Linked DNA regions of Cricetulus griseus. The protein of the gene in region 1 binds, or shares a complex with, the protein of each later gene. Links are inferred from orthologs where the notes say so. Each region holds a gene or a part of one and is shown in the gene's direction. Other genes may lie near its edges.

Region 1 (4,208 bases):
GGTGCTGAGTCTCACCCTGAAGGTGGCTATGGGATTGTGTGAACTGAGGTGGCAATACTGGCTCTCTCCGGAAGGAAAGATGCTATCTCTCTCCGGGGAGTTAGATGACTATGGCACCACATGAAACAAGAAACCGCAGCAGCCACCCCAGCCCAGCCCAGCCCAGCCCAGCCCAGCCCAGCCCAGCTCAATAGTCAGATTAAACAAGAGCCATCTTTTTTTTTTTTTTCTTTCCTGGGGGCAATCTTCTAGATCTTCCTCAAGTGCCTGAAGCAGAAATTCCGGGATACGTTGCAAGTCCAGAGGGCGGTTGCATCATTAAGAATTGTGGAGAGCAGGTGGAGGAAAAAATTTATACTCAAAGAAGAAGAGAAAAAACATGTATTTCTTGGGGGAGGGGGTCAGGGGAGTTAGGGATTTGACACCACATCAGTATCGCCTGTGAGACAATCTAGGAACGGAGGTCTCAGTTCCCTTCCAAATCCTCAGCATTTGATAGGAGCCGATCACACAGCCCTATTCCCTATCCGCACCCAGGCGATACCAAGTCAACCCAGCATCTTCTAGTGAAAGAGTATCGAAGAGAAAGCAGTACGTGTGTCTCAAGTTCCCGCACGAATGTGTCTGGTGAGGACCAGGCAGGTCTGGGTCCGCTGAGGGCCATGGATTGGGTGTGGAGCCTTAGGGTGAACCGTGCGCTGGTCCCTAGATCCGCCCCCCACCCCCCCAGCATTGGGTCTCCTTGCAGTTGCTTTTCCGACCCTCGCTCGGGCTTCCCGGGAGTTCTCATCGTGGTCGGGGTAGGGAAGACACCTGTTTTGCTTCCTTCAGCACCGGGGTTCCTCTCGGCTCCCTGATGGCACCATGCTCCCCTCACCCCCTGCCTTCTGTCCCTCCGCTCCCGTGACGTCGGGGAACTCCCAAGCACAACTGGGGGCGAGGCAGTTAAGCCGCGTCCTTCAGGTGTCAATCCGGACCTATGTGAAACCACAATTCCCAGAGTGCCTCGGTCCACGAGGCCAAGGCAGATAAAATGGCCCCAGAGAGTGGGACATACAACTTGGAAACTGGTCTCCGGTGTCTTTACCGGATGTATTTAAATACTCGAAGCCCCACTTCTGCACCACTCCAGTATCACCTCCAGACCGCGGAGACCGCGTCTTAAGGTGCGCCCGCTCCCGGGGCATTTTGGGAATTGTAGTCCAGATGCCAGGTTGTACAGAACTACCTTTCCCATGGTGCGCAGCGGCCGGGCGACAGCAACGTTCTCTTTTCAAGTGTTTCTGTCCCGAGTGCCCCCTCCTCTGGTCCCCTTCTTGCCATCGATTTCTTTCGGTCTGTGACTACAGCTGGTATCCCAGAGGCGGCCCTGAGCGGGGGACCACGCTGCCCTGAGAGGCACTTCCGGTGACAGGTCACTTCCGGGTGGGTGGTCGGAGCCGACGGGCGCGCGCGCGCGCGGGGGAGGGGCGGCCTCAGCGCTGCGCTCGGGGATCAGCTGGCGGGCGGGCGCCTAAGTGGCCCCGGCTCTGCGGCAGCGCCGCCTCCACCGCGTCGCAGGCCGGCGGCCGTGGCCATGTCGCGGGGCTGGTAGCTGGGCTCGGCGCCGAGCCGCCGCTAGTGGGTGTCCGGGGTCCGGGGCCCGGGGCGGGGGTCCGGGCTGGGGGCCGGTGCGTTTCCAGGGCTTTCCTGAAGAAAATGCACGCAGCGTTTCCTCTGGATGACGGCCTTTGCTTCCCCTAGGACCCGGCAGTTGGGCTCAGGAGTGTGTTATTGATTCATCCTCTCTCTGCCTCTGTCATCGCAGGTTTAAACTTAAAAGATCGCTCTCCGAGGAGGAGGGGACCCATCCTGCAATTGACAGTATATTCCTGCAGGCGCCGTCCCTCAGCCCCCACCCCACGGCCGGATTCCCGTGGCTCTGTTCCAGGCTGAAACCCGAGAAGAAATCCTTAGATCTCTTTTCTTTACAACGAATACGAACCGAGAAACCATCGGCATTTTGCCTTGGCGTTTCCTATTGGAAAGATGAAGAAGTTTTTCGACTCCAGGCGGGAGCAGGGCAGCTCTGGCCTGGGCTCAGGCTCCAGCGGAGGAGGGGGCAGCAGCTCAGGCCTGGGCAGTGGCTACATCGGAAGGGTCTTTGGCATCGGGCGGCAGCAGGTCACCGTGGACGAGGTGCTGGCGGAAGGTACGTTGGAAGCCAGTGCGCGGTGAATTAAATTCATGTGCTGATGTGGCAAGACTCTGGTTTCTAGTTGTATGAATGGGTTTTGACCAGCTGACCCTCCCTTCCCCCTGCACTTTCCCTGTGAGTCATTGTCCTTGAGAGATTTAAAACTAAGACTGGGAATTGACAGGGCTTGGGGGGCAGTATTGCCCAAATTGTTTACCTCAGTGGCCTTTTATTTTAGTTGGCCGGGGCGGGGTGGGGGGGGACGGCTTGGAGAAACCTCCTCCTTTGACTGAATTATGCGGATCAGATGTGAAAACGAATACGTGAAGTAGAAATGACATCAATTGCAGGGTGGTGGGGCTTGGCGTTCCTCTGAAACTTTAAATTCTGATGTGGAGGCTGAATGGTGGGGATGGGAAGAGATCTTAAAAAGAGAGAGGGGTTTCTCCTATCCAACTTTCCCATTTCTATAAGTATCCAAAGAGAATTTTTCTGGTGATGGGAATGCATTTTTTTTGGTCGTTTGACTAGGTTTATTTCTTCACCCAACTATAATCAGGTCCCCAGGATGTAGCTAAGATAAAAATCATAAGAAGTGAATGAGATTGTTTTGAACTCAGTCGCCTAGGCCTCTTTTCTCTTGTTTTAGTTTCTATTTAAGAATTACTTAACAGTGGCTATGGTTTAGTTTTCTCTCAATTGGAGAGGGTGCTCTTTAGATCCGCTGTGTGGATTCTCTTGGTGTGTGTTCATTTGTGTATCTGTACTCATGCCCCAGGCTTTAGGGAAATCTTTTTTGAGTGTTCCTCTGCTAACCTTAACCTCGACCTTCATAATTATGCCAGACTGATACTTTTCACAGCTCATTGCCTGCTTAGGGGTGCTTTTATTTTTAATAAAAGCAGCGATTTCCTTGGCATGAAGCAATTCAAACTAATTGGATAGGGCCAGCCTACTGTAGGTTGTGTTACAGACTGCCAGGGGTTGGGTATGGGGGAGGTCTCAGTGAAGGCAACATGGTGGTAGGGGACAGCTTATTAGCTAGGGAAGAGAGGATGAAAGCTAAGAAGCCCCCTTGAAAAGGAGGCTTTGAAAGCTGAGATTGAAGCAAGGATCCCTACCTGGGCTTAGGAAATGCCTGTCATGGTGAGTGTTGTGGGGTGGTGGATGGGTGGGTGGGAAGAGGGAGAAGCTGTGTTTGACTCAGTTTGTGTGAGCACTGGATTTGGTGGGGCCTGGCATCTGAGGGTAGGACTGATGCCTGTACTTAAAAAGCACAATTTTAAAGAGATACCTGATAATGAATTTCCGTTTGAAATTACTGCTTTTTTTTTTTTTTAATTCTTGGTAATGCTGCAACTAGACTTAGCCTGGGCCTGAGTCACCATCCTTTCTGGACCTTTCTTTGAGGACTCTGGTGCATGGTGGGAGATGCTTCTGTGTCTGCTGCCAGATCTGTACCTTGGAATCTGAGCTGACTCTTTCATCCCATAGCCAAAGTCCTTGACTGCAGTGGGTGGAGTGTGTGAGAGAGCTGGAGGATGAGGGGCACAGAGCACTTTCCTCCTCTGTAAATGGCCTCTGCTGGCCTCAGAACCTAAGAGCATTTTTCTTTCTTTCTTTCTTTCTTTCTTTCTTTCTTTCTTTCTTTCTTTTTTTTTTTTTTTTTTTTCAGCTAGGATGTTGTCTCATCGTGTGTTGCCCTAAGCATTGCCTATTCTCTGAGTCTTGGAAGAGTGATGGGAAAGAGAAAACACAAAATTGGTCTTTGTTTTCTAGGCTGCCCTGGAACTCATCCTGAGAACTGCACATTGTGCATTCTGATATTTTAAAAAGTAGAACTTAGGGTTTGCAACTGTGTACACATTTATTTCTTCAACCAACAGTTACTGGGTACCTGTGATGTGGCAGTTCTGTCCTAGGTTCTGGGGATGTGATGTTAAACTAGATGCTAGAGTTTCAGAGATGTTTTAAGAGATGGAAAATGGACAGCTAGTGATATGATTAGTGTCACCATGAAAGTAAACTAGGG
Region 2 (3,500 bases), on another chromosome or scaffold:
ATAATGAAATTCTAGAAAAAAAAATGTGAATTGTGGAGAACATGCTTAAGTAGGTGTGAAACATTCAAAATAGTTTCAATTATAAATATGCTACCTAACCAACCAATCTCTATGTTATTAATTTGTACATTGCATTGGCAATAAAGGAGTATAATGGCTAGCTTGTCCATAAGTGCTGACAGATAATCAGTTAGTAGGCTATATGTCAAGGTAACATTTAGTGAATAAGCATTCTGTGAATTAATTAATAAAAGTCAAGAATGGCAAAAGTTATAAGATTCTAGGAAGTGAAAGAAAGAATTCCCATATTATTAAATATTCTCCAGAAATTATTTTTTAGTTGCTTTACCTCTTCTTAATCGAATCCTTAGAACAATTCTTGAAAAACTAACAACCCCAAACTTCTTACTGATTAAATCTCTTCCAAGTCTTGCATCTTGGAATATTTAACAGGAAGCCATTGTGGACTAGGATCCTAGCTTTTATGGTTCACACTTCACTCAGTGGAGTAAGTGCATAGTACAGTCACAGCTGATTCCCAAAAGCTAAACACTCAATGAGCTGATTGGATTATACTGATTACATTATTGCTTCCATAATGCACTGGAGTTTAGGTTTGTTTTAGTTTTTAAATGCTTTCCCCTCCTTCATGACATTTTCAAGATAATGCCATGAAAGTTTTTTAGGTTAATGCATCCTGACGCCCTTTGAAAGAAAGCAGAATGTGTTGTAGCAAACCTTTCTGTAATTCTTCCCTTATGCACTGCATGTATAGAGTTAGTAATAGCTAATATTCTTTGTTTATGGATTTGTATTTATGAAAAGCACACTTTTTACAAAAGCTTTCAATGACGTGAGAATCTTCCACTAAGCATCTCTTGTTTCTTTGATGAAAACTTCAAGACAAAGATGAAATACGTACATCTACATTGAGTTAGTGTGGTTCAACAATGAGAGCAGGTATTGATGTGTTTATTGTCATCTTTCACTCCATCCACCTTTCTATAACAGGAAGTCATCAATGCTTTGAAGCAAACCTGGCACGTGTCCTGTTTCGTGTGTGTGGCCTGTGGAAAGCCCATCCGCAACAATGTTTTTCACTTGGAAGATGGAGAGCCATACTGCGAGACTGGTGAGATAATAAGCCATTAGTGCCTTTGCTAAGAATGAAGCTAAAACGCTTACGTTTCTGTACAATTGAAAGAAAAGTTTAGGTCAACAAGGTTTCCTTCTTTTAGAGGCATTACATATTACTCTGAATATATAGCAAAACAAAAATAATAGTGACTGTTCATGACTTTCAAAATGAACATTTCCAACTTCATTATGAGCATCAAGGTTAGCATTACTTAGTAGGAAAAACATGTTCAAATCTCCAATCATTTAAAGATATAAATTCTACTCATAATGTACCGTAAAACCACTATTGCTGTAAAGAATACCAAATGGTTATAAACATGAGAAATGTTCAACATTCGAATGTTACCGCTTTGCTTTTTAAAGCTACAACCTTGAAAGTAAACGTGAAATCCTTTGCTGCCATTACTGAATAGAAAAGCAATCCTGGCTCAGATTGCTCCCTGGTGAAGATGTTTTTAATAATTTAGGGTCCAAGAGCCTGCCACTCCCTTTGCTTTGTCACCTGAACACCCAGCACTTCCTTTTCTTTTGCCACATCTGCAAGTGAGCTTTCTTACCATTTACTCCTTATTCAGATATTGCTTCCACAATGGCTATTTCAAAATATGAAACATGCTTTGCTTTATTTTGCCTCTATTAACTACCATTAACTGAATTCCCACTATTCAGTTTTACTCTTATTTTAGATTAAAATTCAAAGTGTGGTCCTAGAAGAAGGGATTTTTGCCCAGTGGTAAAGTTCAAGAGACCATCAGCTTTTGTCTGAAGCCATTTCAGCATCACTTACCTCTTTGCTCACTTCCCCTTAACCCCTTAGTTAGGAAGGGTTTGGCTCTATTCCAGATTGCTCACCAGGAAGCCCCAGAACCTCCAATAAAATGCCCCATGTGTTGTTAGCAGTTTAAGTTGGCTGTAAACTTCCTACCATCTTCAGAGTATCTCATGTTCTGCAGCTTATTTTTTCTGGTTTTTGTTTAGTTGACTGGCTGGTTTGAGAGTTTTAGAAACTTTGTAAGACATTCTGACTAACTATGCAAAAACATAAACATCTGTCTAACCTGAGAAGTGTAATGTGTTCTAAGAAATCATGATATACAAGTAATGTATTGCTAGCAGAGGGGAATCGCGGTCTAATTTTTACTCTTTTTCTTTAACCTTCAGCCAGTTCTTAGCAATGTTCCCATCTCTGTAGATTAGATGGCTGCACTGTCTACTGTCCAAACACCTAGGATTTCTTTCTCTGTTCTTCTGAAACAGAATCTTAACAAGTGATTCCTAGCAACTCTGCTGCCAGTGGATATTGGATAAGCATCTCTGCCTTTATGCCCAGCTTACTCTTACTCTTCTCCTGGATTTCCCAATAGCAGCTGCAGAGAAATTGATGCAGTGTCAACCATGGCAGTCAGATTATGCTCGTATTCCATAAATGGCGTCCACTAGAATAAGAACCATTGTCCTTGCCAAAACCCACCTTGCCAGATTTATCTCCTGCTTCTTTACATTCTGACACTGGATTTAGCCCATATCTTATCCCTTTATTTTTCTGGACATGGCTAAGATTTTATTTCTAGCTCCAGGGCCTTCATACATAAAAGTTTCATCTAACTAGAATGCTTTCAGTGTGATTCATCATGACTGTCACATACCAGAGAAGGGTTTCCTAACCCTCCTATAATGTAGTGTGTGCCTAGTTATTCTGTATCATAGCACTGGTTTTTGCTACATTGTACTTATCACAGTCTTAACTGGAACCCCATGAGACAAGCATCCACACCTGTCCTTTTTGCCTCCCCACCTCAGTGCTGCCTGGAGCACTGCCTGCTAGAGTCTGTGGAGCTGTATTTAGCAGTGGTGCTAAAGAATCTCTGCACCAGGCTGCATATTATAGAATCCCTCCCCTCCAACTATGGCTGGATTGACATTATTAAAGGCCAAAAGTTGGCTCACAGGTCAACACAGCAGCAGTGGAGTTGAATAAAAGAAAATGGAAACGTGCTGGCATTCTTTTTTAATAGTAGAGAAAGGACAAGGCCACTCTCATCAAAAGGGAATTTGTTAGTATTTTAGAGCTAACCTTCAAGTTACTCATGTTGTCTGAGTAAAGATTTCCAGAATGAAGTCATGAAATTAGAAGGAAAATATAACAAAAGAAATTGAGGCTGGTTTTATTGGCATAATCCATCTAGGAACTCGGTCACAGTACTTATTTGTGAAAGTGTCCTGAAACCTGTATTCAAAGTTTGTTCTCAGATTATACTAACTAGGCTCATTGTTGCAAATTATTGAGAGTCCTCTTACTGTACCTGGACACATCCAAGTGTACTACTGAACACTACACACAACATGATCTCCTGTTCATG

Evidence for each region. The genes of interacting proteins can lie anywhere in the genome.
Region 2: the proteins of Aak1 (region 1) and Pdlim5 are in contact, whole or in part, in a crystal structure (PDB 9F6S), measured with the Homo sapiens proteins. The link is inferred for Cricetulus griseus from reciprocal best matches to the Homo sapiens genes AAK1 and PDLIM5. Residues at the interface, in NP_055726.4 of Homo sapiens: Asp956, Leu958, Ile959, Asp960, Leu961; in NP_006448.5 of Homo sapiens: Ala12, Pro13, Trp14, Gly15, Phe16, Arg17, Leu18, Phe24, Gln67, Ile70, Lys71.

What each region holds. Positions count from the first base shown.
Region 1 is NC_048601.1:58,582,655-58,586,862, forward strand, and holds the start of Aak1 (AP2-associated protein kinase 1), read left to right. Parts: upstream 1-1,408; 5' UTR 1,409-1,425; intron 1,426-1,479; exon of another isoform or gene 1,480-1,620; intron 1,621-1,807; 5' UTR 1,808-2,028; coding exon 2,029-2,191; intron 2,192-4,208.
Region 2 is NW_023276806.1:17,535,414-17,538,913, forward strand, and holds part of Pdlim5 (PDZ and LIM domain protein 5), read left to right. Parts: intron 1-1,011; coding exon 1,012-1,132; intron 1,133-3,500. UniProt on the Homo sapiens protein: May play an important role in the heart development by scaffolding PKC to the Z-disk region. May play a role in the regulation of cardiomyocyte expansion. Isoforms lacking the LIM domains may negatively modulate the scaffolding activity of isoform 1.